Danio rerio: one gene and its partners. The protein of the gene in region 5 purifies or fractionates together with the protein of the main gene of each other region. This does not show direct contact. Links are inferred from orthologs where the notes say so. Each region holds a gene or a part of one and is shown on either strand. Other genes may lie near its edges.

The links.
Region 1: the proteins of exosc5 (region 5) and exosc10 purify together in Homo sapiens (co-immunoprecipitation; 8 studies listed by BioGRID and IntAct, with this or other methods). This does not show direct contact. The link is inferred for Danio rerio from reciprocal best matches to the Homo sapiens genes EXOSC5 and EXOSC10.
Region 2: the proteins of exosc5 (region 5) and c1d purify together in Homo sapiens (affinity purification with mass spectrometry; 4 studies listed by BioGRID and IntAct, counting the BioPlex papers as one, with this or other methods). This does not show direct contact. The link is inferred for Danio rerio from reciprocal best matches to the Homo sapiens genes EXOSC5 and C1D.
Region 3: the proteins of exosc5 (region 5) and mphosph6 purify together in Homo sapiens (affinity purification with mass spectrometry; 6 studies listed by BioGRID and IntAct, with this or other methods). This does not show direct contact. The link is inferred for Danio rerio from reciprocal best matches to the Homo sapiens genes EXOSC5 and MPHOSPH6.
Region 4: the proteins of exosc5 (region 5) and hbs1l purify together in Homo sapiens (affinity purification with mass spectrometry; 3 studies listed by BioGRID and IntAct, with this or other methods). This does not show direct contact. The link is inferred for Danio rerio from reciprocal best matches to the Homo sapiens genes EXOSC5 and HBS1L.

The regions. Positions count from the first base shown.
Region 1 is NC_133198.1:16,321,912-16,328,432, forward strand, and holds part of exosc10 (exosome complex component 10), read left to right. Parts: intron 1-195; coding exon 196-304; intron 305-409; coding exon 410-485; intron 486-2,095; coding exon 2,096-2,206; intron 2,207-2,286; coding exon 2,287-2,430; intron 2,431-3,909; coding exon 3,910-4,100; intron 4,101-6,129; coding exon 6,130-6,286; intron 6,287-6,521. UniProt on the Homo sapiens protein: Catalytic component of the RNA exosome complex which has 3'->5' exoribonuclease activity and participates in a multitude of cellular RNA processing and degradation events.
Region 2 is NC_133188.1:5,048,672-5,055,937, reverse strand, and holds the start of c1d (nuclear nucleic acid-binding protein C1D), read right to left. Parts: upstream 4,408-7,266; 5' UTR 3,887-4,407; intron 3,832-3,886; exon of another isoform or gene 3,604-3,831; intron 3,442-3,603; exon of another isoform or gene 3,355-3,441; intron 2,715-3,354; exon of another isoform or gene 2,342-2,714; intron 1,893-2,341; 5' UTR 1,883-1,892; coding exon 1,745-1,882; intron 1,662-1,744; coding exon 1,595-1,661; intron 1,515-1,594; coding exon 1,459-1,514; intron 1-1,458. UniProt on the Homo sapiens protein: Plays a role in the recruitment of the RNA exosome complex to pre-rRNA to mediate the 3'-5' end processing of the 5.8S rRNA; this function may include MPHOSPH6.
Region 3 is NC_133200.1:38,539,719-38,546,851, forward strand, and holds the start of mphosph6 (M-phase phosphoprotein 6), read right to left. Parts: upstream 4,875-7,133; 5' UTR 4,782-4,874; coding exon 4,731-4,781; intron 4,102-4,730; coding exon 3,989-4,101; exon of another isoform or gene 2,751-3,988; intron 1,559-2,750; exon of another isoform or gene 1,507-1,558; coding exon of another isoform or gene 1,460-1,506; coding exon 1,369-1,459; intron 1,014-1,368; coding exon 904-1,013; intron 208-903; coding exon 66-207; 3' UTR 1-65. Other genes in the region: snx20 (sorting nexin-20), read right to left, coding at 6,278-6,946. UniProt on the Homo sapiens protein: RNA-binding protein that associates with the RNA exosome complex. Involved in the 3'-processing of the 7S pre-RNA to the mature 5.8S rRNA and play a role in recruiting the RNA exosome complex to pre-rRNA; this function may include C1D.
Region 4 is NC_133198.1:34,710,703-34,716,432, forward strand, and holds part of hbs1l (HBS1-like protein), read right to left. Parts: intron 3,550-5,730; coding exon 3,459-3,549; intron 3,284-3,458; coding exon 3,175-3,283; intron 3,051-3,174; coding exon 2,950-3,050; intron 819-2,949; coding exon 674-818; intron 583-673; coding exon 571-582; 3' UTR 1-570. UniProt on the Homo sapiens protein: GTPase component of the Pelota-HBS1L complex, a complex that recognizes stalled ribosomes and triggers the No-Go Decay (NGD) pathway.
Region 5 is NC_133193.1:38,978,790-38,985,122, reverse strand, and holds the end of exosc5 (exosome complex component RRP46), read left to right. Parts: intron 1-1,327; coding exon 1,328-1,449; intron 1,450-3,715; coding exon 3,716-3,856; intron 3,857-3,947; coding exon 3,948-4,037; intron 4,038-4,171; coding exon 4,172-4,267; 3' UTR 4,268-4,294; downstream 4,295-6,333. UniProt on the Homo sapiens protein: Non-catalytic component of the RNA exosome complex which has 3'->5' exoribonuclease activity and participates in a multitude of cellular RNA processing and degradation events.

The DNA of each region.
Region 1 (6,521 bases), on a different chromosome or scaffold from region 5:
AAATAGTGTTTTATTAGCAAATTTATTTGGATGGAAACCTAGCTAATGTAAGCTTACACATTCTTTAAACAACCATTGCAATGTTGTTTTGGATGATAAATATCGCACACCCCTAGGGAAAACTATAAAAATAAAAAGTAATGTATATTAAAAATAATAAAGCAAACACTAAACTCTAACCAAATGTGTGACCAGATTTTGCCGACAAGCACATTCGCAAGGAGAGGCCGGAGGATCTAGATGTCCCTGCTGCTCTGGCAGATTTTATTCATCAGCAGAGGACAAAAGAGCACGTGGACGACATGTAAGATGCGTTTAAGGGATTTATTCAATGCCTCTGTTACTTACCTTGCATCAGTGCTAATTTTGTTCTTCTTTGTAATAAATTAGTTGTAATGCTGTTTTCCAGGTTTTCCCACCCATATCAGTATGAATTGGACCATCTGGTCATGCCAGAGAATCTGAAGTGTAAACCTGAAGTCCAGGTCAAAGCCTTATTCAGCTTTTCTCCCCTGACATTTATGTTCTTTTAACACTGCAAAAAACTGTTTTTGTCTATTTTTAGTCCAAATATCTAAAAAGTCTTAAAATTAAGAAGCATTTTCTAGACAAACAGAACATATATTATATCATTTTTAAGAAATATTATGCCAAAATCAAGTGAGTTTTCCTTAAAACCAGGCAAATGAATCCACCAATGGCGTAAGCTAAATCATTTTGTTTTTGCTTTGAAATAATATTTTTTTCTGCTACCCATATAGGCAGATTATTTTGCTTGTTATAAGGAACAGTTCACTTAATTTTGGCATATTATGTCTTAAAGGAGTGGTCCAGAGTGTAATTTAAGCCTTGGTTGTGTTCATAAGATGCAAAGCAATGTGTGCTCATGTTTCCTTTGTAGATAATCACATAATTTTTTTTCGTGTATCTTACTTAAAATATATACTGCTACTCTGCTAACATGAAAACGACTATCATATTAATAGTTTCTCCACAAGAGGCTCTGATTGGTCATCTTACATAATGTGCTGTGTAAATGCTGTCAGTCAGTGTAGCTGTAAGCCATATCAGACAGGAGGATACAGCTGAACCCCATCCCTGCTCCAAAATAAAACCTGAAAACTGTCTTTCATATATATATTCAGATTATGTGAATGTTTAAGTAATATGAAATGTTCACATATCTCGTGAGATGTAGTATGCACGGAAAGCGGCCGCATAGAGAGACCCTGCAGCGCAGCTGAAGTTTGTGGGTGTTTACAGCGGTTTGATGGATAAATATGAATTTGTAGCTAAATTGTTAGTAGTGCCAATCAGCATTTTCCGTAGTTTACATCCTTGTTTATGTTATTGCTACATTGTACTGTTTACGCTAGAAACTGTGCATGTAATAGATTAATTTTAACAAATAAAAACACAGGTTTTGGCTCAGTCCATAGCTTTTGCTATTATGGCTGGAGCTGTTTCTTTAAGGAGTTTTAAGCCGAATCCATCACTGAACTGGGAGAGATTCTTGAAGCTGTCCTTTGTCAAATGCTAGCTATATATTTTTTATGATTCTCTGGAACATGATTAAAATTAAACTGTAAGCACTTCTCTCTTTGTGTCATGTCATTTAGAAGCCTAAACACAGAAACAGAACAAGCTTTGCGGAAATAACAGTGTTTGGACAGCATTTTAGCTTTCTCCGCTATAACATTACAACACCTCTGGCCATGCCCCTTCACTGCACGGGGTGTGTGTAACCTAAAGGGTTTAAGATCTCATTAAACCAGAAGTATTTTTTGTAATCCCCAAACTTTGTTTGCTGTAGACTTTGCTAAGCTAACTCTGTAAAAGCCAATGTCTTTCTTTATATTGAACTTTGAGCATATTACATTTAGGGATGTTGTTTATGCTCACACAGTTACATTACACATCAACTAAAGTTTAAAATATTATATTGTAGTAGACCATCCCTTTAAAGCAAGACAATATGTTTTACTTGTCTTGAAAATGCTTCTTGGTTTAATCGTTTTTAGATATTTGAACTAGAAACAAGGCAAAAAAGCATTTTTGTTTGCAGTGAAATAATTGTGTTTTCTTTGTGTTTTAGATGTATAAACCTATTGACGAAACCCCTTGTCAGTTTATCAGTACTTTAGAAGACCTCGTTGCTTTGAATGAGAAATTGGCCAAGACCACTGAGTTCGCTGTGGATCTGGAGGTATGGGAAATTTCTATGATGCTGTTTAGTCTTCTGGATTACTTGTTCTTTTTTAATTTGCCCAAATTCTTTGTCCACAGCATCATTCCTACAGAAGCTTTCTGGGAATCACATGTTTGATGCAGATTTCCACACGAGAGGAGGATTTCATCATAGACACGCTAGAGCTACGCAGCGAGATGTACATCTTAAACGAGACTTTCACAGACCCTGCTATTGTGAAGGTGATGGACTTATAATATTACGCTTTTCTTTTTAAAGTTACTATAAGATCTGTACATGTTGATGACAGTTTTCATTAAAAGTTTTTTGTTCATTAATAACTTTCAGGATTTACTAAAGACATGCAGTTAAAGATCAGGAATTACAAGCAATAGACAATTTTTTTGGTGACCATATGCATTGTGTTTTTTAAGTCAGTTTTTTTTTTCAGCCAGAATATGGAAAGAGAGCATTCAAATGAATGATGAAGCAGTTTATTAAAGGCATAGCTCATCTAAAACTAAAAATTCTGCCATCATTTACTTGCACGCTTCACTTGTGACACCTGTTTTAGTTTTTTCTTCTGCTGAACACAAGTTGATATTTTAAAAATGTTGGAAACCTTTAACCATTGACTTCCACAGTTTAGTTTTTTGGTGCTATTTATTTTCTTCTTTCCTTTTATGTCCACTTAATTGTGATGTTAGGAGTTGCGCATATGGATCCATTACCAAGCCACATTACTTTTATATATGCTAGTCTTAGTAGATTGATGTTCATTGTGGAAAAGAGCTGCCACATCTATTAGTACTGGACACATAACAACACCGCTATATCCATGGAACACGAAATTGCAGACTCTTTGAACGAGGAAATAATTCACAGCCCAGACGGCCTGTTAATTTAATATTAGCTGGAACACCTGAAGGATGGTTACAGCGTGTTGCAATGTCAGCTGTCCAAAAGTCTACTTTAGAAAGTCAACTTTTTCTTTAATTTTTTGGACTTGTTTGAAAGCTTTTCGAAGTGGCAGTGTAGTTGTTTACATTGCATTAGCAAGGCAGCTACTGATGGGATTTGTGTAATGTTTCAAAAAGCTTTGTTGCAGTGGAAAATGAAATCGTATTCGTGCTGTCTGGCCCGGTTTGGCACGGAATGGAACAGTTCAGCATAAAAAACAATTCAGAATGATAGTGGAAAAGTTGCTTTTGTTTAGAATAATTGCATCGATCGGTGTGCACTCACTTAATATAACACACTCACAGCAATACTGTAATACCAATTGGTAAGTGTGATCGCAAGTAATATTGACTTTATCTAACAGTTCATTTCATGCTCAACATTGTCAATTTTTCTGTGTAGCTAATGAAAATGTTTCCAAAAGACCCTGGAGCTAAATATTTGGGTGCCTCAGAGCAACACCACATTGTTTGTCATATTCCTCAATGATTAATTTTGAACAAATTATCTGAGTCCATGATCACTCAGTAAGCCCGAGATTTGTTGCAACCTATTGGCAATTGAAGTATCATTTATTTAACACATTCGATGAATCATAATTTAATTATAAAAAAAAAATATCAAGATAATACTTTTGCCAGTATTCCACACAAACACCTATGCCGGTGCTCTTTAATTTCCGCATTGTGAGTGTCCATCCACTTTCATTCTCCTTAGTATAATAAATGTGTCACTATATTGTGAATACCTTGTTTCTGCAGGTGTTTCATGGGGCCGACTCTGATATTGAGTGGCTGCAGAAGGACTTTGGGCTTTATGTGGTCAACATGTTTGACACTCATCATGCTGCACGCTGTCTTAACCTCGGCCGCAACTCTCTTGATCATCTCCTGAAAGTATACTGTGACGTGAGCTCTGATAAACGCTACCAGCTGGCAGACTGGAGGATACGGTACATGCAACTCATTATGATCAGCACGATACACTTCCTATTTTATTTTTGCAAGTAATTTATGCGAAACTAAGTTTACGCCGTTTCTGTTTGTTTGATGTAAAAAAAAAAAAAAAAAAAAAAAAAAACTTTTAGATTGCATAAGTTTTTGCATTTAGGTATGGCAAATGAAATAGTCAACAAATCAAGAAAATAATTCTTAAAAATCTATTCGTATCTTCTCTAATTTGTAAATGGGGATTTGTTTGGATGCCAAAATGTGTCAGATGCCAAAACAACCTTTATAAAAAATGATTTCCACTTGGAATTATGATATTCTATCTTAAAGCATTAATTGATACATAATTTGATATTTGCAAATGTTACAATAATTAAGATATTTTTGTGTGGACATAAAAGGATTGTTGTAACAGTATATCAACATATTAAATAAATTAGCACTACATTTAACTTTGCATGTTTTATGACTATTTTTAACATTGTTTAAGTTCAGTTTAAAAAGACAGTGCTAAATATTTTGTCCAGTGAAGATGTTTTTTTTAGTAGACATATGGTGGGTTATTAAACACTTTATGAAACTGTTAATATAATTTTCCTGTGATACTGTAATATTTCTCTAGAGGTCAGTATAGCTAAAATAATGTGCTAACATTTATAGTTCTTATTAAGACCCCATTAATTCAACTGGGTAGAGTTGCACCAGCTGTTCAAAAAATCTTTCTTAAACTGGAACGTAAAGTCCACACTAGGGGCTTAGTAACTACTAGCTAGTTTGCAACTAAATTTTTTCTTACTTTGGTTGCACCACTTGTTCTCAAGGTAAACCGTAGTTAGGTCATTTGCTCTCTGTAAAGTCATGCGTAGTCGCATTGAATGACGTAATATCCAATAGAAAGCATTTAAATCGTTAAACTGCATAATTCGGCAACTAATGCATCTATATAGAACTTTTCTATGAAAATGAAATGACATTACATTTTTATAGTAAATTACAGTCAGTCATTAATAACAGGTTATGCATATACCTGAATGCACGCGAAATACACATGAAGTTTTTTATATTCTTCACATGAAAGAGAAAAGAGCAGGAAGAATGACTCGGTCATGAGGTTTTTGTTTCAACTGATGGATACAACAAACACAAAAGACTCCTTAAAAGAAAATTAAACTCTTCTTTCACAAACAAAAAAAAAGTGTGAGATTTGGGAAGAAATGAAGGCTGTGAGTAGAGGGAGGTCATTCTGCATTATCATCGCGAGCTCCTCTATGTAAACTAATATCGTCTCTTTTCTACTGTTAAACAAGGGGGAGGCTGCTGTAAATATTTAGTTGAAACGTAGCGCTATGTTTAAAGTAAGTTCAGTAGTGCAACACACAAATATTTAGTAGTGCATAAATTGTAACTTGGTGTCCCTTTAAGTCACAAATAGGCTACGTTTTAACTTGCGCATTGCTGGTGCAACAGGCCCCTGACTGTTTTACAGCTAAGTCTTAATATTGTTGAGTTAAAAACGACAAGAAAGTTAATTACATTTTTAATCGAAATTGATAATTTTTATATAGTCAGCAGCTCTGTTTTTGCTAGTAATGGAAAATGCAACTTTGTTTCTATTAAATCTTAATGGCACAAAATGCCTTTAAATCTTATTAATAGACTATTATTTTCAAAGAGTAAGATGTTTATGAGCTGCATTTAAAATTGTAGATAATCTCCACAAAGCTGAGTGCTTAATTTCTGCATCTTTTGGTTCAAAAAAAGCACTTTTCATTGTTTTCAAGCTCACTATAGTTCTCTCCACTGGCTAATTTCAATTTTAAACACACACTAAAAGTAATAGCAATCATTTTGGCCTTTAGATAACCCTGTTTGGTGGTCCTTTTATGTGCATTCAGAGTGCTGATAGGCTCATGAAAATAACCTTAGTCAAGTTAGAGTTTGATTTTTGTACAGAGGTACATGTTGTTTTTTTTAAATAAAAATTTGAACACCACATAATGACAGAATTAAGTGTATGTATTATGCCTGTAGGCCGTTGCCAGATGAGATGTTGAAGTATGCTCAGGCTGACACTCACTACCTGCTGTACGTGTATGATCGGGTCAGAGCAGATCTGTTTGATGGGGGCAACGGGCAGGCCACCCTCATTCAGCAGGTCTGGACTAAAAGCAGAGACCTTTCGCTCAAGGTATGGACACATTTCAACATAAACTTAAAGTGCCTCGTTATGCTTTTCCTGGTATTACTCTTCAAGTAATGTTCATTTAAATTAAAAATCAAATAAAGTGTTTTTAGTGTAAACATTTGTCATTTCTATTCATTTATTTTGTATTCTCCTAATAAAATAGTAAGCTATGTAATATGTTTGAACTGTTAATATTCAGCTTTCCACATAAATAACACGTATAACATCACATCCATCC
Region 2 (7,266 bases), on a different chromosome or scaffold from region 5:
TTTCCTCCGGGTGCTCCGGTTTCCCCCACAGTCCAAAGACATGCAGTTCCAAAGACATGCAGTGCAGGTGAATTGGGTAGGCTAAATTGTCTGTAGTGTATGAGTGTGTGTGTGGATGTTTCCCAGAGATGGGTTGCTGCTAGAAGGGCATCCGTTGCGTAAAAACTTGCTGGATAAGTTGGCGGTTCATTTCGCTGTGGCGACCCCGGATTAATAAAGGGAGCAAGCCGACAAGAAAATGAATGCATGAATGAATGATGTAGTTTGAAATAACTAAAAAGGTTAACTAAAGATAATTAAGGCAGCAGCAATGTTTTAATACGTCTACATATCAAGCCCTGTACTTTTGATCTTTTGTTCACAGATTTTATAAATTCTCAAACATTTTTTGTAGAGTTCCATTTTAAATTTTAGTAATCCACCATAGAATTTACATTTGTAGTAAAATATCTTGCTTATTGTAGCCTTAATGCATTACATCCATCCATTTTCCTTTGGCTTACTTCCTTTATTCATCAGGGGTCACCACAGCGGAATGAACCACCAACTATTCCGCCATATGTTTTACGCAGTGGATGCCGTTCCAGCCGCAACCCAGTTCTGGGAAGCACACATACACTCACACATTCACCAACACACTCATACACTACGACCAATTTAGTTTATTCGATTTACCTATAGGCCTTTTTCACGGACGGTAGCACGCACATCCGGTTGGGCGATAGTTGCGTATCCTTACTTCCGGCAGGAGCAATAGAGTCAGATGCGCTACAGTTTTCACTACCTCTTTGAAAACTTTGCCAACATTTACCATTTACAGCGGCTGTTTATTGTCTCGTGGACCGACATCTATCGCTCCACACTCTAAACGTAATAAAGGATATACGTTTTTCCACAAAAATTGCGTTTATATTTACGAATGTGGGTGACTGTCCATACGTTAGCATGGTTTAGGAAAGGCTGTTTACATTTGTGCGAAATGTACCTTTATCATAGCGTATGCTCTTGGTTTTAAACCGTTAAGCGATATAAGGGAGCTAACGTATATAATAATAAATGTTTAAATACATGTATAATATGTAAACGTATAAATCTGTGATGTAATAAATATTTGATGAGAGGGAACCTGGATCTTTACTATATCTGTACGTAAAAAGTTTGCATGTGTTTGGACTCGGAGAAACCAGAGCACCCAGAGAAAACCCACGCCAACACAGGGAGAACATACAAACTCCACACAGAAATGCCAACTGGTCCAGCCGGGACTCGAACCAGCGACTTACTTGCTGTGAGGCGACAATGTTAACCACTAAGCCACTAATTTAAAAATTAAAAACTCTAATTTTTTTAAATAGAGTTCCACTTTACATTTGAGTTATGCGCCATAGACTTTGAGATTGTAGTCTGACATTGTCACAGAAAAAAAACGTTTGAAGTAAACCGACAGTATTCTCTTACCAGTTCTTGTTTGATTGGATGGTCTTTCGGATTGACTCCTTGTGTCACAAGATACACTAGAAAGAAAAAGTGAAACTTGTCATATCATGCTAACCTCAATTTTACAAGACAAATAAAAGAGGGTGTAGAACCTTACTCCAGAACATTGAGTTGAGGGCGTATGCCGACATCAGATCCAGTTTAGCTTGTTCAAGAGGATCCAACTTTATGAAGTAAAAAACAGGTTAAACATGATAGTTAAGCCATTTTCATTTATCAGCTTTTCATATAAACATTTTATACATACTTTAAGCAGACGGTCACTTCTGGATACAGACACCAGTGTCTGGACCATATTCTGGACAGAGCTCAAAGAAGAGTCGAAATCATTCAGGTTGTCTTCGATTTCAGTGGGATAATCCTCTACTGCAGCATCATCAGCCATGGTCTGTCAGCTGAATGGTAACATAAGAATATATTAATAAAAACCATTTAAGATAATTCATGATTCCTGCAAACTTTGGCCTAAAAAAACAGTAATTAATATGCGTTTTGAAATGACGGATCTAAGCATAACTGCTAAATTAAACCGTTTTGTTATTTTTGGGGATTTGTAGTCAATATTATTGAGGTAAAGTTGTTTTTTTATTCACACATTCAGACTTTCTTCTTAATAATATATTTTCAGAAAAATATTATTTGCTATTTCTAAATAGGGAGATCACATTATCAGCCAATGACTCTCAAAATACAACATTGTTCACCAAGTTAAATCGTGCAAATGTTGTTTTGAACTTGAAGTCATACTTAAATGAGATTTCAGACCGAATATTTAAAGTAACATGGCGAACTATGTAGAGACTGTTAAAAATGAACTAATGTGCGAATATAACCCCAACTTTACCTAAAAATCGATATTTGGCTGTTAGGAAAACGAGGGAAAATGCTTCAGAATTCAGTTGTGGACAGCAGATACATATTAAAAAGCAGTAAGTTACCAAATTAATAAGAAGTACAATACATATATATTTCTAACAACTGTGCAAATTCAGCATGAGCGACAATATGGAGATTAAGCTTTATGCACGTGTTCAGTGTCTGCGAGTTATAATCGCACACTTGTTGTCCTGTGTTGTAAAGAAAACCCTGAGACAGCTTACTAAACACAAAATCAACGTAAAATTACATATGAAGTTCGTTTAGGTTGTTTAAGAGAGCTATAATGTAATCAAGCACACATCAATACCTCTCCGTTGAGCCAAGAATAAATAAGCGACGGTCAATACACTTGTTTTTCAAAATAAAAGTCACGCGAAAAACATTTATTTTTCTTTATCTTTAATGGCGACTAGCATTATCGCCACCTAACGGACTGGGGGTCAGTTTAAACTTGCACAGTTTTTTGTTATTTTCATTGTGCAACAAAATCATTTCACATTCGTTAACAAGAAGGATTAAAAGAGAAAAGAAAACATTTAAATAAATAAAAATATTAACTAAAAAGGAGGAGAGGGTACATATCAGATTACATACAAATATACAGTTTAATGCATGGTAGATTTAGTTATTAACAAAAGTTATTCAATTTAACTTTCATTAAAGATAAGTCTGAAAATCTAATCTATCTATCTATCTATCTATCTATCTATCTATCTATCTATCTATCTATCTATCTATCTATCTATCTATCTAGTTAAAATTAGTACGTTGTTATATATATATATATATATATAATATATTATATATATTTTTTTCCTTTTTAATTCACTTACTGAGCCTTTTTTTCTTTATTGATTTTCAGGTGCTTTGAGAAATCCCCTGCTTTGCTTACATGCCTTTTAACGTGTCACGAGACTTTTAATTTGAAGTAGTGCTATTCATGTTTGGCAAGAGTCCAGTACACTAATGTGTTGTTGTGTACTTCTCAAAACGGTCATCCTCCCTACTGTTATTGTTTATCTGAGGAGCTTCTACAAGATGAATTTAGCTAAAAATAAATTATTGGTGAGTATACCTACGTGAATATTCAGTTAAAGTTGTCGTTACGCTGTTATTACAGTTCAGTCTTTTCTGTCAGGTTTGAATGAATAACTTGATATACATTTATAAAAGTCATGTACAGTCAGCTGATAGCGATATCGTATAAACACGAGACTTCTACGTTACCTGTAGTGATACTGTCGTTAAAGCCGTTTAACAGCTGTAAGTTACGTGTATTATTATTGTTATTAATACATACTGTAATACTGTAGCTAAACGTTGAGTCACATTTGTTTTCTTGGTTGTACAGATTTTGTCACACATAAAAAAACACACTCTCCTATAAGTTACTTCCTTTCTCTTTCTCTGACGACAAGCGCAAAACACTACAAAGTAACTAGTAACTGTAATTACATATCCAATTTCGTGAAAAAAATAGTTTTTTTGGTTATTTAATAAAGTTACTCACGATGTGCTTTCCTTGAGTGCTGTAAATCAATTCAGAGAAGATTTTTTTCAGGAGTTTGTTGTTGTTGTTGTTGTTGTTCTACTATCAATTATGGAAGTTTTATTTGTTTAACCACTTCACATGCGGAAGAAACAATAAGTAATACATTATTTACTGACAGAAATACATGGTATTTATGAAGTATGACTCCATTGCGTTTTATACAAATAATGTTCAATAAGTTAATTTAAGTTATGTGTATACATCATTATTCAGACAAATTAAATAGAAATCTAATCTAAATAAATTTTCAATGATGTAATTAGCAATTAATTACTTTTTAATTACATTTTTTATTTCCTAATATATATATTTTTTGTTTACAGGAACATCACTCATTAATCCATTAATTAACAATCTCTATAGTTTTAAACATTTTTCGAGTTTCAAAGGAAAAAAAAAGTTTTTTAAAAGAAAATAAAATCCTAACGCTAAAGCCAGACATCTGAATATTTATAAGATGCAACACACTCAATCCATGTGCCATTTCAAGTTTTATTAATAAAATCATTCATTTATAATATGAACCATGTAAAAATAATATTTAAAACAAGTTTTTTGCTTTTTATCTCTGAAGAGGTAATTTGCAAGAACTCTATTCTGGAAACATTCACAACTATTTGTGAATATATATATATATATATATATATATATATATATATATATATATATATATATATATATATATATATATATATATATATATATATATATATATATATATATAAAAATAATAAAAATATAAGGATGTTATAAATACAGGTCACAAAAAAATTTCACCCCAAAAAAAAAAAATAAATAAATAAATAAATAAATAAATATATATATATATATATATATATATATATATATATATATATATATATATATATATATATATATATATATATATATAAATTATTATTGTACTTTATTATATTATGTTATATTATATTATATTATATTATATTATATTATATTATATTATATTATATGTTATATTTACAATTTACAGTTCATTAAAAGTTTTATCATAAAATCAAAATGTAGTGTAATACATTATTATAACAAAATTTATTTGTATATATATATATATATATATATATATATATATATATATATATATATATATATATATATATATATATATATATATATATATATATATAAATTTACAGTTTGGATGGCATGGTGGCTCATTGGTTAGCACTGTTGCCTGACAGCAAGATGGTCGCTGGTTCGAGTCCCAGCTAAGCCATTTCTGTGTGGAGTTTGCATGTTCTCCCGGTGTTAGTGTGGGTTTCCTCCAGATGCTCTGGTTTCCCCCACAGTTCAAACACATGCGCTATAGGAGAATTAAATAAACTAAATTGGCCGTAGTGTATGAGTGTGTGTGAATGTGAGAGTGTGTTTCTCAGTACTAGGTTGAGGCTGGAAGGGCATCCGCTGCGTAAAACATATACCGGAATAGTTGGCGGTTCATTCCGCTGTGGCAAGCCCTGATAAATAAGGGACGAAGCTGAAGGAAAATGAATGAATGAAATTACAGTTTATCACAAATGTTCTTTCAAAACACAGAAAATGTATTAAAGTGTAATATATAAAATATTTTATAGTATATTATATCATATTAATATAATAATAATATGTAGCTACTGTATATTGAAGCGTGGATCTCAGTGACACAGTGTGTATGTTGTCAGTGTCTGCAGTCTTCTAGGTAAGCGTCAGTCAGTTCTCATGTGACTGAGAAGCGTCCAGGAGCATGTGAGTGTGTTGTAAAGAGCAGCAGCATCACTCCAGCATTCCTTCAGCAGGACGTGAATAAAAACAGAGCGTGCTGTGTAATAACTGACTCACGTGCTTCTGTCTGCCGCTCTGAAATTCAATGTATTTAAGCACTGGAGGTGTTTTCTCTTGTCTCTTTCAGTGCTGTGAGTCCACAGTGTTTACGTCTTATTTCATTGGGATCTGAGCCGACAGCATCTCCATAATGTCAGACTGACTTCATGAGGAGACGGATGCTTTTCTCACAGCAGCAGAGGAGCTAATGGTCCAGTAAGTTTATAGTGTTTTCTTTGTTTTCTTAGGTTCTGTCTTCTTATTAGGACTGCACAATATATACAGTTGAAGTAAAAATGATTAGCCCTCGTGTGAGTTTTCTTCTAATATTTCCTAAATTATGTTTAACAGAGCAATTAATTTTTCACATATATTTTTTTATTATTATTTGGTTTATTTCGGCTAGAATAAAAGCAGTTTTTAATAAAATAAAAAAAACATTTTAAGATTTGTTAAAATTGAAGATCATACCCACATTTTTTGGGACTGTCCTAAGATTGAAGAAATTTGGAAAAATGTTAAAAAAAAAGAAATAGATAATATATTAGATATAGAAATACCCCTCGATCCAGTTATGTGCTTACTGTGAGCACTGTCCAAAGAAATGTTCAATGGAGAAGCAAGATTTGTCCTAAGGATATTATTACTGGTTGCAAAAAATGATAACAGTACATTGGATGGAAGAAAGTTCTCCAAAGGTGGCTCAGTGGATTCAGAGACTTAAACAGGTCTATATAATGGAAACAAATGACTGCATGTCTACTAATGAATACTGATATTTTTCTAAAGAGGTGGAAAATTATTACGACATATTTAGATATGTATATTTAGAGGTTACTTAACCTATCATCACTGTAATTTAAGGTAACTACAATGCAACACAATGTAACTGATTTACAAATGTATCCCCTGTAAAGTAATTATGATTGCAATACCTTTTATTTATTTATTTATTTATTTATTTGTATTATTTTTTATGTATATTATATATAAATATATATATATATATATAAATATATATATATATATATATATATATATATATATATATATATATATATATATATATATAATTTTATTTTTTTTATTTTTTTTATGTTTTTACATAATATATATATATATATATATATATATATATATATATATATATATATATATATATATATATATATATATATATATATATATATAATTTCAGATAATATTAATAATTTCATTATTAAGTTTTTAATGTATCCCCTCATCTGTAAGGGGTTAAATTGTTGGGGAAGGGGTTGTTCTGTAAAAATATATTGAAAAATCTTAAATAAAAGTAAAAAAATAAATTATTAGCCCCCAAGAGCAATATATTTTTTTTCAATTGCTACAGAACAAACATCGTTATACTGATGTAATGACTTGTCTAATTACCCTAACTCGCCTAATTTACCTAGTTAAGTCTTTAAATTGTACTTTAAGCTGAATACTAGTATCTTGAAAAATATCTTGTAAAATATTATTTACTGTCATCATGGCAAAGA
Region 3 (7,133 bases), on a different chromosome or scaffold from region 5:
AATACTACTAATAAAAAAAGAAGTCCATTGCATAAAAAATAAAGCATTTACAGATTTAAAATGTCTCAGTCCTGTGGCTTCATGAAAGCTCGTTTGGGTCTAATATCATCAGTGACGTTGCAGTTGACATCCTCTTTGTTTGAGACAGCACTGCGATCTCTTTTCTTGGCGAACTTTTTCCTCATGCTCTCAACCAAACTTTGATACCTGTAAAACAAAAGCAAAAATCAAGGTTTTCATCTGCTGGTGATGTCCACATTCGAAACCATTACAATTTTGTTTCGAACCAGTGGTTTCGGTGCGCATTTCCAATTGGCAAGGTCACAGGATTTCATTCAAATTGAGCTTCGTTATGGTCAATATGGTTTCGAAATTGCTTCCCCACAAGGGGGCGATCTGTGCAATATAAAATCTACAAGAATCACGCAGATTCATTCAGGTCGCCCCCCAGTGGCCAATCACTGAACAGGTTTCACTGATTGATCTCGGATTAGTTTTACAAATTTTGTTAAATATTTTAAGGAGATGTGTATAAAATGAAAAGGAGTAATGGTTAAAAGTAGCTAATAGTCTCCTCCTGGCCTGTTTAGCAGTTTAACAAGCAATATATAAGCCTTGAAAACATCTAAATGAAAGAACATTATGCAGAGACTTAACATTTAATGATCTTAGATGACGAGCCAAGTTTATTTATAGGTTAAACTTTCAATTTTAATATGTTTGGGAGTCAATTCTAATGCATCTTTTGTTTGAGTGTTGACCAGCAGGGGTTTCTAGCATGTGCGGTTTCGAATTGCTTTAGCGAAGTAATTGGTAAAATTGTTTAGACGCTTCATTTCATCACTATCCTCGTATATATATATAACAGATGTGTAGATTACAGATGTATTTGTCCTTGCTCACCTTTTGGCCATCTCTTCATCCGTAATATCGGTTTCCATTTTGTTCATGCTCTCGTCCTCCTCTTCTTCATCCTCTTCCTCTCTTGGTGCGTTCATTAGTAACATTAATTTCTGCAACAGATTCAGACTTGTGATGAATAAACCCCACTTTAGATTACAGGTGGCTATCAGTGGCTATAATTAGAGCAAGACGTGCATTTTCAGCTCATTGTTAAAGGCACAGTATGTAAATTTAGCCACTAGAGGGCGTGTATTCACAACAAACAAAGGTGTGTTTTGATGACTGAGTGAAAAATAAAGATATAATAAACTGTTCAAGTGGCTTTTGAATATGTTAATACAAATAAAATCATACATATTGTGCCTTTAGCTTATTCTTCAGATTATGCTCCAATAACGTGAACACAATAATTGAGAACAGTTAACAAAACGGAAGCAAACGGCTGTAAACGGATGAAAGCTGTACCTCCACGTCAGGATTGAAGCCTTTGAATGACATTCTGCCGTAAACCAGATCCTCACAGGGAACGAAACTTCTCTCCTCGATGATGTGGTTTCTGGCAAAGTTAAAAATACCTTGTAATTTTGTCAATTTAAGAGACATTTTGATAAACCATCAGATATCCATAAGGCAACGAATATTTGCTAATGTCAGACTGCATTAGAACTAGAATCATTTTTAATGGGGTACATGCATTAGGACTTTCATTTTAAAGTGTCCTGGTTCAAACGCTGTATGCTAGGGCTGTGCAATTTGGGGAAAATATCTTAATTGCAAAATTTTTTTAACAGATATTTAGATTTGATTTGCAATTTAATATTGTAGACATTTTAGGTACTGGTTGTATTTCCTCATGCCTGCAACAATCCTGCGGCAGCTCTTACAAATAACCTTTTTTTGTTTGGTGTCTGTGAACAAAATATTCCCATATCACTGACGTGCGTTTTTTTCTTTAATAATATTTAGTCTATTAATGCGGAAGACGCCATCATCCCACTCATCTGTTTGTTTGTTTTATTGTGGGCGTTCCCCATAATCCGGCAGTGCAATTCTGATTGGGCAGGATGAAAGCGTGCACACTTAATTGGCTTGTAAGACTTGTCACACGCAGACTGCAGTCATGCATTTGCTCGGGGCGTGGGAAATTAAATACAAATCTATGTCATATCGCAGCCTCTTGTGATAAGCTAATCGCAACATTTCAAATTGTGATTCGATTTATCGCACAGTCCTACTGTATGCAGTTACAAAAAGGCCTGTTTTCTTTAAAAATCAACCATCTTCAATGCCTAATTGATATACGATATAAGCGGGTCTCAGATTGTACAAGAAACACTACATTAATTTACATTTCCCCCGTCGTGTCTTTATAATATGAGCATTTATTTTACCCCAGTATGTTAAATGGAGCTTCTGCGCTAGCCTGCTGATTCTGACGTGTGCGAGTAAACAACTTTTGATCTCGTTTTGCGCTTGATCAACTAAATAAATGCTTGGGTCTATTTAACTGATTGTATTTTATTTGCAGTACAACATAGATGCTGTAAAAGGAATGGAAATAAGTAGGGGTGTCACGATTTCGATTCTTAATCGAAATCGATCGAAATTTATGCTCAATTTCGATTATCGAATTACAAAATAGAATCGTCGATGCTGCCACGCCCCGATGTCACGTCAGCTTGGCTTGCCAAGCGGGAAAAAAACAGGCTTGTTGAAGTGCTTGTTAAACTGCAGAAGCAGGAGACCCGTCGACAGAGCTTAAACCCTCTCCTCTTTCAATGAAGTCGCCGGTGTTTAAGCATTTTGGATTTCCAGTGAGTTATGTTGACAACGTTCGTGTTGTCGACAAAAAAAAAAAACACAGTTTTGCAAGCTCTGCTATATACGTATTACGTATGGTTCGTCCGATAGACAACACCAGCATCGCGATCCTCCGCCCGCCCCCGTTGCAAATCCGCTCGCGAAAAGTTCACACTCAGGCCCTGTTTACACTGTCTTTGTTTTTAAATGGCATTTTAGAACAACAACGATTTGACATCCACAGTGGCGTGTAGCATTTCTGAGCAGCCCTCCTTCCTCATTACCTCTGAAAACGCACATCACGTGACCACACAGACACAGATGCACACACAGCCATGCGCTCGAGACAGCAGGTCCAGGCAGTCAGAGGACTGCTTCAATCTTTCACTCACTTGTACTTTGTCATTTTAGCGAACACCTCAGACACTGTTGGCTGGTTCCTGTTGGTTGTGCGTCTTTTTTACAGACGCCATTATAATGACACAGATCACTGCCTATTCACGAGTCCCGCAGAAAAAGTGATTGACAGGAGGTAATTATGTGTGCATCTTGCCTTTATTCATTTACTGTATGATTTGTTTATGGGTAAAACAAAGACCATGCAGGTCAGGTAGTTTAAACGGTAGGCTACAAATAATTAATTGGTCATTAATTAATCATTCATAATCGAAAATCGAATCGTGCCTTTAGAATCTTTAGGATCGTGACACCCTTAGAAATAAGTCACATTAACTGTTCACCGGAAGTTTATCAGTATGGGAAGAAACACTATTGAATCAGTCAGGTATTTGTCGCCACCTACTGGTGGTTTTGGATCCATTGATCTAGATATAACATATTGGAAATGTCTGAATTTTATTTATTTGTTTGCTTGCTTTTGGTCAATATTCTAAACCTTTGGGATTAAATAATTTTTAACTGCACTAAAGAAAATGTTTTAAAGCGTGTTGCAAACTGGTAACTATTGACTTTCATAGTATTTGTTTTTCCTGGTTACAGGTTTTCAGCTTTATTCTAAATATCTTATTTTGTGCTGAAAGAAATATAAATTGTTTTGATTTGGAATAAATCAAAGTGCAGTAAATGATGACAATTTTAATTTCAGTGTGAACTGCCCCTTTAATTGAGTATTAGTATAATTAGGTATTGGTTTGATGTTTTTGATTGAGGCTTTTTTATGCACCAGAAATGGGTTTCCACAGATATTTGTTGTCATACACTATTTCATTCATTGGGTGTACAAGCACCGTGATAAGAGTAAAAAAAACAGTTGTTGAAGTCTCACTCTTTGGCCTTGAGCTCGGGCAGATCCAGAAACCAGTGTTCATCACTGATGATCCGCTTCTCCTCCTCATCCAGCTGCTTCTTCACCTCCGCATCCAATCCTCTCTGCATGAACTACAGACAGACAGATGAGAAGATGGACAGACAGATGGAAAAAAGATGCAGACACCAAATGACAAGCAGATGGACGCAGACAAAAACAGATTATCAGACAGATGAAAAACAGATTAAAAGATAGACAGACAGATAAACAGAAGAAAGACGTTGACATAAAATGACACATGGAGGTAGATAAAAATGATGGGCAGACAGAAAGACAAGAACAGACCAAATGACAAGACAGATGGAAGAAAAGATGGACAGAAAGAGAGACAGATAAAAAAAATAAGATGGAAATAGAGATTTATTGAAAGACCAAAGGACGAGGTAAACAAACATGAAAAGTAAGACAACAAGGCAGATGGTAAGACAGACAAGTATAAAGACAGAGGGATGAAAAAAATGGACAGAACGAATGGGATATACAATATGGCGGATAAAATAATGGACAGAGACACAGATGAACAGACACACACAGAGACAGACTGTTGTCTATCAGTCACGTGTTCTGCAGCGAGTGATCTACAGCATTCAGTTCATATCAAAACAAAACCGACCTCAAACACGAGGACATTTTAGTACGATCCCAATCACGAGCTCATCATATTCCTCCGACACTGGGAGAGTCGGCTAACATTATTTACCTTCATCCGCAGGAGGTTTTTAGACAGCTTCGCTCCACCATCGTTCGCCATTTCAAATCAGAACTAACACTACACGTTTTTAAGTGAATGAAGAGAGATAAAGCGAGCTTTTCTGACAGTTATGTCTTCCACACTGGCAGCATTACTGTGCGTAGCACGAGCTGCTAAAATAAATAGCAGTCCGCATGAACTCTGCGCATGCGCTCTAGCAACATGTGCAAGACTCGACGAGTCGCACAACACACATCCACTGACAATAATTTCAGATTTATTACTTATGTTTGAAGTATAATCGCATAATAAAGCGTTTAAGTTAATGTTAGTCTGTATTATATGGTATCGTTTACTTTAATTTGATTTGCTATATACAATTTTGTCGAATGTATCGACAATTTATTGCTTTCGTCTGAAGTGGCGCATTAACCCTTTCCTGTATGGTTAAATTTACCTAATTAAACACGCCAGTTCGTCTTCAATCACTGAAAGGAGTCATTACTGAGGTGAGTTTTTACTTTACTGTGTACAAACTTCGCTTGTTACAGTTCATTACTGGCAAATAACAACTGTAAACGACTTAAAAGTTGCTATTTATTTTCTTACTGAGGATTTTTGTAAATACAGACATTAGTTATAGCATTAAGTTGTTTTATTCATATTTATTGTCGTGTAATAGCGTAACTAACAGTTATTTTCACCACATTATAGTCAAATATTGGGTTAATATATGTTTGTTCTAAAATAATTTAATATATATTATAATATTATATATTTTAAGGCCCCTTTAAGCACATTTGTATTACTTTAGCTGAACTAAAGCACTGTTTTATATTTATTTCACGTTTTTAAATTCAACTGTGTGCTTTAAAACACTTTGCAGTGCAATTTAATTAGCTTGAAATACAAATGTGGTAATTATATGGTGTATACTGTATATTCAAGCGTCATAATTACCACTTTTATTTAACGTTTTAGCTAACACTCAGTTGAGTACAATCAAACAATATTTCAAGGTTCATTTGAATCTCAGCATATGATGATTGGGTAGCCTCACAGCAAGAAGGTCGTTGGTTCGAGTCCCGGGTCAGTTGGCGTTTCTGTGTGGAGTTTGCATGTTCTCCCCGTGTTGGCGTGTGTTTCCTGTGGGTGCTCCGGTTTACCCCACACTCCAAACATGCAGGAATTGGGGAATTGGGTAAGCTAAATTGGCTGCAGTGTATAAGTGTGAAAGAGTGTGTATGAATGTTTTCCAGTGTTGGGTTGCAGCTGGAAGGGCATCCACTGCGTAAAATATATGCTTGATAAGTTGGCGGTTCATTCAGCTGTGGTGACCCCTGATTAATAAAAGGACTAAGCCGAAAAGTCAATGATTGAAGGTAAAGTCAAGTTTCTTGGTGTTTCTTTCAGTGTTTCCTTTACATAAATTCAAGAAATCAATGGTTCTCGAGGTAAGTTATTAAAGAATTTAGATTTGTGTACATTTTGACAACAAAATAATTAAATAAATGCAGTGAAACTCGCCTCATAATCATTTTAGTCACACAAAAAAATCATACAAACTCTTGCACCACCAGTTCTTTAAGAGACATCTGTGTCTCTTTCCCACATGGAGAGTCATTAACTCTGATCAGCTCGTCCTGTAGCTGAGCCACCGGCAGCTCCAGACTGAACCCCAAATCAACCAGAGCCTCCAGCAGGGGCCCGTGATGCTTTCGCAGCTCATATCTCCTCACTGTGGGCAAAGCTTTTCTGCCAGTTTCGAAGGCAGCCTCGAAGTCCTCTAGATCCCTTTGGCAAACCAATATGGCGCACAATGTCGGAATCACTAACGTAGCATCATGAGAGGAGAGTTTCTCCTGAAGCACCAACACCTTCTGGAGGCCCTCGAGGGCCCGGGAGAAGCGTCCCCCCCTCAGGAGATCATATGCAGATTTCAGTTCCTGATGAGTGAAGAAGGATTGAAACGCTTGGGATTTCCTGACAAAGCGGAGGGAGTAGAGCTGGGTCAGATAGTCTCTCAGAGCTACGCGACGCTCAGCGATGATCTCCTCAGAGAAGTTTCGGGTCATCTTCTTTTTGGGAAACACAACGTCCTCAAGTTCCTCGCTGAAGTCGGACAGGAGCTCCTGATGGAGGTGGAGGAAGTCTGAATAGCGGCGCTCGATAGCCACGCGCTCACAGTCGTAACTACCCGAGCGAATAACCACAACCTGGTACACCTGCAGGACACATTTGGAAAAAGAGACGATGAATTTTTACCCAGACTGAAATGTAGAAAAACAAAAAACATCAGAGCACAGCTGCCCAACCCTGCAGAACTAAATGTGCAGCTCAACTCTCCTGTTTCCACCAAAACTGTTGGTCTGGAGCTCCACAGAGTCAGCATACATAGCCAGCTGCTATAGA
Region 4 (5,730 bases), on a different chromosome or scaffold from region 5:
AAGACAAAGAGCATTCTCTCCCTTACACTTATCAAAAGATATTTTCTTTTTCATTTTTTTTTAGTCTTGTTTGCCAGTACAAACATCTAAACATACTTAAATCAAGATATATTTATTGAGAGTAATGTTTATTTTTTTAAAACGTAACAAAATAAAATTACTTTAAGCTTCAAAAACAAAGGAAATATTAACGTGGGGTTGATCAGAAAAATCCCTTGTTTATTATTTAGATTTTAGTGGCAGATGTTTTTAACAAACAAAATTGTGACAGATCTTTCAGAACTTTAATAATTTGCCTCTCAAACAACTGCATAATGATTTAAGAATGCTTTTTTTATTTGTACTGAAAACAAGACAAAAATGACTACAAGAAAACAAACACCAACATTCACTCTCCCCTCCCGAGGCCTGTGAAATGTAACGTGAGCTGAGGCTAGATTCACTGTTAGCTTGCCTGCTGGGCATCTTTGTGTATTCACTTCATGTTTGTGTACGTTTTGAGGGAGAAATTGCACTTCAGTCTGATGGTTTCTGTCAGTACAATCTGAAGGATCCAGTTCCAACAGGCTCTTACTCTTTGATCTAGAACAATACAAACATTGGCATTAACAAGCATCACATCTTACGATGTACAATCAAGTACGCTTTTAACAATTTGGTGTTTTAGTTTTACCTCTGTGACCACTCCTGCAGCGATGGTGGAGCCCACGTATCTCAGCATGAACCGCCCCAGTTCTTTATAGTCCTTATAAAGCTCCATAGCCACAGGTCTCTGTGTCTGAATCTCCACCACTGCATTCTGTCCTTTACTCAAACACCTGCACGACAGTTAAAGGGTTAGTTCATTCATTCATTTTCTTTTCAGCTTAGTCCCTTTATTAATCAAGGTGTGCCACAGCGGAATGATCAACCAACTCATCCAGCATATGTTTTACACAGTGGATGCCCTTCCAGCTGCAACCCATCACTGGGAAACACCCGTACACTTTCATTCACACACATACACTAGGGACAGCTTCCCCAATTCACCTATAGTGCATGTCTTTGGACTGTGGGGAAAACCCACGCAAACATGGGGCTCGAAGCAGCAACCTTCTTGCTGTGAGGCCACCCACTGCACCACCGTGATGCCAGTTAAAGGGTTAGTTCATTCAAAAATGTTAATTATTCCATAATTTTTTTTGGTGCATTAGTGCCACCAGCAGGACAATACTGTATATAGTCTGACTCTCTTCAAGGTGCTTCAGCATTCATTTTAACTGTGCATACATTTCACACTCAAGAGACAGAAAAGTGCAGTCCTGATGTTGCTAATGCACCAAAAACTGCACCTCAAAAGATAAAGTTTAAACAAGATGAACCTATCTGCTTTCAACTGATAACAGGAAGGTTCATAGAAAGTAAACTAGAAACATGCATTTTGTTTGAAGAAATTAAATCATGGTAGGGCTGTAACGAATTAAGGTTGACACAAAGTTCGAAACATACGTGACCTGAGCATTAACATTTTTAATTTTTTTGTAAGTTGATCCAACATTTATAACTATGGCAGAGCGATCGCCCCCAGCGTCATTCAAATTACGTGTATGAAAACAATGGCATCCCTGTAAAATATAATGATGACTGAAAAAGTTGTGGTGGGACCTACCTAAATGCTTTCTTAGGTTATTAATTAAAGGTGTTTTCTGACACTTCTTTAGCCTGCATTAATGCATTCAGTTTAAGCTGCACTATTAAATTTAAAAGATCGTGATTTTAATTCAAATCCACGCAACGTGAATGATAAATGATCTAATGCGAACAGTGAGATTTGTGATCCATTACACCACTAAATCATGGGATACATTTTAAAAAGATAAGCCCTAAATAATATAACTGTAATTTGTAATTATGGACCCTTTTTCACAAGACTGTTATGATGCATTTAACCGTCATTAGCATCTAAAATCCTCTAAAGTTTTAATATTTAATTAAAAAGAAAAGTATGTAGATTTATATGTATTATATCATCTTTGAATCAAATTACAGAAAACAAATTACCACTTGTGTGAGGCGTTTGTTATGCAGAGTGAATGGGGCAGGAGAGTAAATTTGACATTTTAGGTCTCACCGATTTTATTTCCGTTTTCTGAAAGTCTTGATAACACCATTGTTGAGTTTTTTATTTTGTTATTTCAGCAAATAGGATTGTAAAAAAATATATGTTTGCTGTACTCTCCCATTCAATGCACCTTAAGTTTACCCAACTATGACAAATTCTGCTACTGAGAAACCCGGAAATGTGAAAAGGGTCCATTGTTAAACTTCCTTACTATACCCATGCAGAATAATTGCATTGTGAATATGATGTATGAGCAGCTTGCACAAGTGCTCTGAAGTTGCTGCACTACCTGATTTGTCCAAAATTTGTCTGATGTGTTTTTTTGTTTTTGTTTTGAAACGTTTTACATTTTCATTGTTATGTAACGTGGAAGTGTAAATGCGATTTTAAAGGTACTGCGGGAAAAAAAGGTATTTCAACAAACAATGGCTTAAATGTATGTGGTTATCACACGAAAGCCCCCTTTGATAGAAAGCTTATTAATTGTGAAGACTGAAGGTGCTGGGAGTAAATACCCAGCAATCTCACCACCCTTAATCCCATGGTTGAGGTGATTCCCTTGAGCAATGCACAGAATCCTCAACTACTTCCCAGGCGTTTGTGTGTTCAAATTCTGAGTATAGTTAACCATTCTTGGCCACAAGTCACAACTTTCTGCTGCAAAAGGCATGCATGGAAAAACCAAGCGGCATGATACAAAAAAAAATACATATGTAGCGTTGGCTTCTCCACAATATGATATACATATGCACAATGTCATTTTTCTGCGCTGTTAAAAACCCTTTAAAAAGAAACTGTTCCTTAAAATCATGTAACATTTTAGATTCTAGAATCATCCGTCCACTTACTTTGGTTTTTTCTTGAGAACTTCTCCACTGCTCTTGTGTAATACACTGACTAACTTCCTAATGGTGGCCGGTTCACTTACAGTCTGATAATGCAACAGGACCTGCCAATCAGACACACACACACCAAATACACAAATATTAGCAAACACACTTGCACAAGAACCCACAAGAAACATGCAAAGATATTTATATCTAAAAAGCCTGAGAGATGAAATGTTTTCTCACGGGGAAGCCTTGAGTGATGGGAAGTTCAATATTAAAGAGGAGGATTCTTGCTCTGAATCGCGTGCAGGCTCTAATGGGCTCTTTGGGATCACAGAATACACATCCAACACTAGAGAAAGAAGCAAGAAAACATACATGATTACACAGAATCAACCGTGTCCGTAGAAAGTTTTTAATCATGTATTACGCAACATTACATAATCAAAACATTATATAACCGAACTGTTATAATATACGTTAAGGAAGGGATTGCTTTCGACGCTAGTGTTTCTACACACACTCACTTTATTTTGATGATGTCCATGCCTGTTACAGTCAGACTGACATGATCACCAGCCGCTGCCCAGTCTAATGCTTCATCATGAAGACTGATCCCTAGATAGAATTACAATCCATTAAGATTGCATTAATAAAAAAAAATAACCAAAAATGAGTGTAGCACCACTCTAGCCTTTAGCGTTACAAAATCCATCATAAATCATATTTATATTTTTTTAATCTGGTGCTCAATAAACACTTATTTAAATTTTGCATTAAGGTTTCATTAACTAATGTGAAGTATTTACTAACATGAACTAACACTGAACAACACAGAGCATTTATTAATCAACAATGCATTATTAATTCCAAATGCACACTTCTTAACATGAGTTCTAACAAACAGCTTAACAAAAAACAGCTTTATTTTCATTAACTAACATCAACAAAGATGAATGTAAGAAATGTAATGTATTGCATATTGTTTGTTTAATTGCACAAACAAAAACACCTTAATAAGCTTATTATAAAGTGTTACCAGTTTATTATTCTGGTTTTAAGATTCCAAGAGAATCTAGTTGAAATTAATATGTTAAATTCTTAAATTTAATATGTATCGATTTAAGTATTTTTTTAAGTATTGATTATTCATGATTAACTACACAGTATATTTCCTCAATTTCCAGAACAACAAAACTAAGCAATATAAAAACTACTGCAATGACTTTTTATTTAGTCCTAAAGTTTATAAAGACTGTGTCATAACGTTAGTTTTGCAATCTTAGTAGGAGAGAAATAAAAAGAAAAAAGCGAGTAACAAAATTTGTTAAAAGATTCAGTCATTATTGCGAATCTGTCTCAACTAGATTTCAGTAACTAATAACTCTTTTTTACAATAATTTTTTTATGATGATATTTGATTGATTATTTTTTCCCCCAATTTCTGTTTAATGGAGAGATTTTTTTCAACACATTTCTAAACATAATAGTTTTAATAAATCATTTCTAATAACTGATTAATTTTATCTTTGCCATGATGACAGTAAATAATATTTTACTAGATATTTTTCAAGACACTTCTATACAGCTTAAAGTGACATTTAAAGGCTTAACAAGGTTAATCAGGTTAACTAGGCAGGTTAGGGTAATTAGGCAAGTTATTGTATAATGGTGGTTTGTTCTGTAGACTATTGAGAAAAAAAATATAGCCTAAAGGGGCTAATAATTTTGTCCCAAAAATGTTTTAAAAAAATAAAAAACAGCTTTTATTCTAGCAAAAATAAAACTAATAAGACTTTCTCCAGAAGAAAAAATATTATCAGACATACAGTAAAAATTTCCGTGCTTTGTTAAGCATCATTTGGGAAATATTTAAAAAAGAAAAAAAAATTCAAAGAGGGGCTAATAATTCTGACTTCAACTGTATAATGTGTGTGAGTTTAACTATTACACCATTACAAATATTAATATAAAAAGCATTTATTTAATTCACGTTAAATTATAAAAATAAAATTGTAAAATATATATAAATATTTTAATACAAATCTTATTTTTGAATATTTATTTTATAGCACATATTTTACTAACATATATTAATTAACATATATATTAATTATTACAATCAGTTACCCATGTGCCATGTGTTACTATATTGTTCCACAGAGATGTTTAATAATATGTATCTGTTTTCAATTAGCAAAAATCAGTGTGCTAAATTAAAAAAAAAATATTTTTTATTAAGTTATTCAGTGCATTAAACAGATAAACATGTACACTGGCCATATACACTCACCGGCCACTTCCAACTGCTCGTTAATGCAAATTTTTAATCAGTCAATCACATGGCAGCAAATGATTTTGAATGTAGCATGATTGTTGTTGCCAGACGGGCTGGTCTGAGTTTTTCAGAAACTGCTGATCTACTGGGATTTTCAAGCACAACCATCTCTAGGGTTTACAGAAAATCATCTAAAAAAGAGAAAATATTCAATAAGCTGCAGTTCTGTGGGAGCAAATGCCTTGTTGATGCCAGAGGTCAGAGGAGAATGGCCAGACTGGTTCCAGCTGATAGACAGCCAACAGTAACTCAAATAACCACTTTGGGTCAACGCCATAGCCAGTGAATATTGTTGCTGACCATGTCCATCCCTTTATGACCACAGTATGTACCCATCTTACCATCATCTCAGACTGGTTTTTTGAACATGACAAGGAGTTTACTGTACTCAAATGGCCTCCTCAATCACCAGATAGTAATCCAATAGAGCACCTTAGGGACATGGTGGAATGGGAAATTCA
Region 5 (6,333 bases):
GATATGAAAAAGTGTGTGAGATCTACATGTCTACATGTATATTCATCTATTTATTTTTTGCTTTGTATTATTATCATTGCACTGATGTTGGATTAACTTAAATCTGTCTGCATTTAGCATATCAGCTATAATGTGAAAGACTGATACAGATAATTAATAATTAAATAATAGAAACGCATTGCACATCTTTTGAACAATCTAAAGTTTTTACAAAATAACAAAATACAATATATATACAAATATCAGGCATGAATCTTTTATGTGCATTATGCCAGTTGTGCACTGGAAAAGCAGCTGGTGTGCACCATTAGTTTGGGTTAGTTTGGGATAAAACATCTTTCTTGTTCAAAAAAAAAAAAAAAGATTTAGTTTTTTTTTTTTTAAAGCAGAAATATGTATAATTTACAGATAGCAAACTGCACTGGCTTTTTTCGGTTATTTCAGGAAAGTTCTATTATAGCAAAATTGTTTAGTGTTATTAAAAGAAAATCCCCTAATCACCTTTGAACATTGTCATATTGCTTTTTTTTGTCTTAAAACGTGCCTCTCTTAAAATGTTAGACATTTGAATTTTGAATGGATCCAATCTATATTCAGTTCAATGAATTTAACTGAGTAAAAAGTAGCTTGTACTGTATGCAGATGACTAATATTTTGATATATTGGCATGCATTTCTAAAACATTTCATTGTTTCTTAAGTATGTGAAGTTGTTGGACACATTTCCTTCTGCTTTTTTGAATTGATTTATTCAAAACTGTTGGACTTATTTACAGTATTTAAGGCAAGTATGTTAGAAGTAACTGCAATTAAATTACCCATCCATGAAAAGTAACCTACTACTTTACATTTTCAGTACAAAAGTAATTACAGTAACACGTTACTTTGTAATTAATTACACCTAATATGTCCCAGACCAAACACTAGCCACTTTGTTACTAGTTACTAATTACACCCAATATAACACAGACTAATGCAACATAAATATGAATTGTTTGTCACTTTTTTATTTAATATAATATAAGAAACAATTACCTACATGAGTATAAACTGTTTAAAGGGAGTCTTAAAACTACATGTCAGGAAGAAAATGTTATGCCATAAAAAATGTGTGTCGTTTATGTAAATTGTTTTTATTTAGTCAGTGTTTTATTATTACTAATTATTATTATTATTAATGTTTAATAATACACATATACAGCTCATACTAGAATAGTAAACATAGTTATAATTGCATGGCCTGCACAGCCATGTTTCAGCATTAGGTGTCAGTCTGGTACAGTATTTTTTTAAACTTCCTCATACTGTGGTGCGATGTGTTGTGTTAGGTGTCCGCGAGCGAGCGAGAGAGCAGTGTGTCCGTGAGACTTGTGAAGCTGCCCTTCTGTTGACCCTTCATCCACGCTCTTCTCTCACGGTCATCCTGCAGGTCGTCCACGATGATGGATCTGTATCCTCAACACCAGCAAAACTCTTCTTTATAAATGCAAAATGAAGAGGGGGCAAATATGATGTGTCCGTGGTTTTATTGTTTGAACTTTTTAGTCACTTACCGTTGAAGGGAGGAGTTTGTTTTGAATATTTAGGGTTGAGTATTAAAGATTAGTATGTTTTATTACAATGAATGTATTAAAACGAAAAAAGTGGCAATATAGACTAAACGTACAAAAAAATTGAAGATTTGAATAATTGGCTTCTTTTAATACTCTTCAATTTTATTATGTTTTAACGCTTGTTAGGAATGTTTTCATCCACTCTGGGGTTATTTTGAGTCTTAATTTGGCCACAACTTGTTTCAGCAAGCGGAATGATTTTGGTGACATTTTATTTTGACAAATTTTTGCAATTTAAAAAAAAAAAAAAAAAAAAACCTCAACAATAGACTCAGCAGGGCAAGTTTACTACACTGGTCCTTTTCGTTATGTTAGTGGCTGTTTTTGCCCTATTGATTTCCATTATAATGACATTTTTTTGATTGCAAAGTCATGAAACCATATTGTTATGCATTCTTGATTGGTGGTGGTTTTTCTCTTTTGAGAAGAGGTACAATTAGTAATTTTTACTGTTGGCCATTAGTTGCAGTGTAAAAAAAGCATTAGTTTCTGGCTTTTATATAGAGTATTGTGTGAGTGTAACCAAGTGTAAGAGCACCTTTGCGTACTTACCTTGATATGTCTGAGAAAATTAAAATAAGCATCTCAGCTCTCAAAACATAGCAAACATGGTGTGTTTATGCACCCTTACTATAATTTGCTGTTATGCTTCAATAAACTCCATATAAAAGCTAGAAAAGGTTTTTTTGAACAGACCTATCTAAAGGGTTTATGCTGCCAACACCAGCAAAACAGTTTTTTATAAATGCAAAATGAAGAGGGGGCACAGGTGAGTTGGGTGGGCTAAACTGTCCGTTGTGTATGAGTGTGTGTGGATGTTTCCCAAAGATAGGTTGCAGCTGGAAGGGCATCCGCTGCGTGAAAAAACATGCTGGATAAGTTTGGCGGTTCATTCCGCTGTCGCGATCATGGATTAATAAAGGGACTAAGCCGACAAAAAAATGAATGGATATTACAACAAATGCATTAAATAAAAAAAGGTGGCAATATAGAGTACAAAAGATTGAAGATTTGAATAAATTGGTTTAAAGTTTTAACTATTTCCAAAAATGTCATTAATCAAAAACAGGCACTAATTCTTAGTGCATATATATATATATACACACACACACACACACACACAAATAAATGGTGAATGTGGTGGTTGGTAAGTAATGATAAGGATACTGTATGTACGGTATGTACTTATACATGATTTTAGTATTAAATACCAGTTTTTGTAAAAAAAAATAAATAACAATAAAACAATTATTCAACAATCGGTTTTATATTTTAGTTAAACTACCAAAAAATTTAAAAATGTATTAGTTAATGTTAATGTATATATTTCTTTGTAGCTAACATGCAACTAAATTATCAAAACATAATAAATAAATATTATTTCATTTATTCATTTTCTTTTAAGCTTAGTCCCTTTATTAATCTGGGGTCGCCACAGCGAAATGAACTGCCAACTTATCCAGCATGTGTTTACGCAGCGGATGTCCTTCCAACTGCAAATAAATAAATATGTAAAAGAAAATGGAAATTACGTGATTTACTATTTTACAGAGTATTCTTAAAAATTGTACTACATTACTTTCCTTAAAAACAAATGAGATTTATTACTTTACAGTAATAAGAAACTTTACCCTACACTGTTAATTTGTATTATTATTTTGCACTATTGCTATAAGGTTGGTTGTTTGAGTCCTGGCTGGACCAGTTGGCATTCATGTATGTTGGCATGTTCACCCTGTGTTTGTGTGGGTTTCCTCTGGGTGCTCTGGTTTCCCTCACAGTTCAAAGACATGCGCTAAAGGTGAATTTAATAAACTAAATTGGCCGTAGTGTATGAGTGTGAATGAGTGTGTGTGGGTGTTTTCCAATACTGGGTTACAGCTGGAAGGGCATCTGCTGTGTAAAACATATGCTGAAATGGTTGGTGGTTCATTCCTCTATAGCGACCTCTGAAATAGACACTAAGCTGAAGGAAAATGAATAAAGCAACTTCAGAGACTGACCCCAGATTCTTAGTGTGCATTAATATTGTTTGTTTTCTCTGTCCCGTTTTCTTTCATTCACACTGTGTCCCTACACCATGAGTCCTTATCTAACCGTCAGCTGCTGTCGTGTTGTCTAAACGCTGCCTGTATGGCTCTAATGGATGCCGGGCTGCCCATGAGCCGCCTTTTCTGTAGTGTGACCTGCGCCATTAGCAAAGAGGGCCAGATAATCACTGACCCCACAGCTCGACAGGAAAAGGTACACTTCACTTCCTGTTCCCTTGAGCCGACACGAACCATCCCGAGTAAACTAAACCTTTGATCTGTGTCTTTTTTGCTTTCTTTTCCAGGAAAGTCGAGCGCTGTTAACATTTGCCATTGATAGCAATGAGCGCAATGTTTTGATGTCATCGACTACAGGCTCTTTTTCAGTGCAGGAGGTGAGTGTTTGATTCTCCAGTGTGTGATTCATTGCTCTGTTTGTGTGGATGATACATAGGTACTTGTGTATGTTTCATAACCTGCTGGAATTCTCTGCAAGGCAGTGACATAAATGTGTTTTCTTCCTACACAGCTCCAGCAGTGCATCGCTATCAGTCAGAAGGCCTCGGAGCAAATCTTCCAGTTTTATAGGGATTCTGTCAAGCGGCGATATTCAAAGATGCAATAAAATATGCGTTGGGATTTTTTTTACTCGAGTTTGCAGTGTCTTTTCATGTACTTATATTTTTATTATACACTCAATTATTGTACTTTATTTAAAAAATACATAAAATAATTCTTATACATTAATAATAATCATTTATTAGTGAAAATTAATCATAATTAATTATTTTGTTTGTCTTTAACTTATACAATTGTTTTTTTTTTTCACAAATTATACCAAAAACAAAGAGTTGTGAAATTTAAATTTAAAATCTTTTTTAAATTTTGAAACAAACTAAATAAAAAAAAATGCTCTCAATTTTAAGGTTTATTACAATTAGGAAAAATGACAACATAAAAAGGGAACTCTGATTTGTAAGATTTGTTTATAATTTTTTGCCTTTCACAGTCCTAAGGAAAAAGGTATGACTTCAAAAATTAAAGCATTTTTTGTTTGAATTTTAAGAAAAAAATTATAATAATTGTGGCGTATAAGTCTTGCAATTATTTATTTCCTTATTTTTCAAAATTGTTGATTTATGAACGTTCTTGTCATTCTAACTTTTGTTCACAAAATTAACATGTGTTTTTACATTAAATGTCTCACAGGCTTTTGAACCAGAGTATCCTCTTAAAGAGTCTTAAAATATCTTAAATCTCAAAATCTAAATTTTAGGCCTTAAAACATTTTAAAGGCTCAATCCCAATTCTACTCCTTAGCCCCTTGTCCTATTTCTCTTCAGCTTGAAGATGTAGGGCTAAGGGGAAGGGTTGAATAGCCCTTTGAATGAAGATTTTTCAGGACCACACTCAAAACCAAGGGGTAAGAAAATTTCCCAGAATACACCAGCCAAAATGGCAGTATTGCTGAACCGGGAAGTAAGGAGATCCACAAATTAGTTTTTTTTTCATTATTACGAATTTTTACGACAAACAAACACATTTTAATACTTTCATAACCGCATTCGTGTTTCACAGTTACGCTTAAAAAAAAAAAAGCTAAAAAACCTGCTAAATTTAGCAATCTATAATCCATAATCTTAACTCCTGTACAGCAGTCCCACAACATTCTGACACTCGAATACCCTGTCAGAAAAGTGTAGTGGCTGAGAATGAGCTTTTTACAGTGTCTGCTATGATGTTAATGTTGTTTTCGTGTGTTTACATAGATAAATATGGCCATTTACATAGTTTACATAGATGAATATTACCATCTTATTGCCACATTAGATCGTTATGATGACAATGTATGTGATTTCCTGAAGATAAAAACCCAAAAATAGCACAACTGGAATAACTACAGCAGTCGCGATCATCTGATCTCATAAGAAGCACAGGATCACGATTACATAAAATGACGTGTGCAGGTGCTGTAGTGCTGTCCCAATTCTTAAGGGTAAATTTTGAAGCCCTTCTCCTTAACCCTTGATTGTAAGGGCCAAGGGGAAGGGCTAGGGGTACAAAAATAGAATTGGGATTGGGCCTAAATCTACTGAAATATTGTGTGTAGGTCTTTAATCATAAGGTTTTGTTTTTCTGTGTAGCTACCTATACAATCCCAATCTCAATAAAACTTTAACTTTTTAATTAAAAATAGTAATTATTTTCTTCACAGTAACATTTGTTTAAAAGTTCTTCATTTATTTACTGCTAAAGATAATGACCTGACCTTATTAAGTTATTATTATTGTATTATTAAATGGATTAAACTTTTATTTATATCTAATTTTGCACTTTGATATTTTGTGACTGGTTGATTTTCATTACTAAATGAAGTATTGCATTATTTACAAACAGTTTGTATTTAAGTGTAGTTGGGGTTTTTTATGATCATTCAGAATGAGTTAGTAAAGGATTAAAAAATTATTTAAATCAATGTTTAAATATCTTATTATTCATATTGTAATGATTGGCATTGCAGTGGCGCAGTAGGTAGTGCTGTCGACAAACTGGATGAAGTTGAGTTAATAAAGCATTTGTTAACGTACAAAGTAAGTATTAGTACATACCTAAATAATAAGATTTCTAAATGTTAATTTGAATATTTATCATTTACTAACTCATTCTGAGTGATCTAAAAAACAACCTACG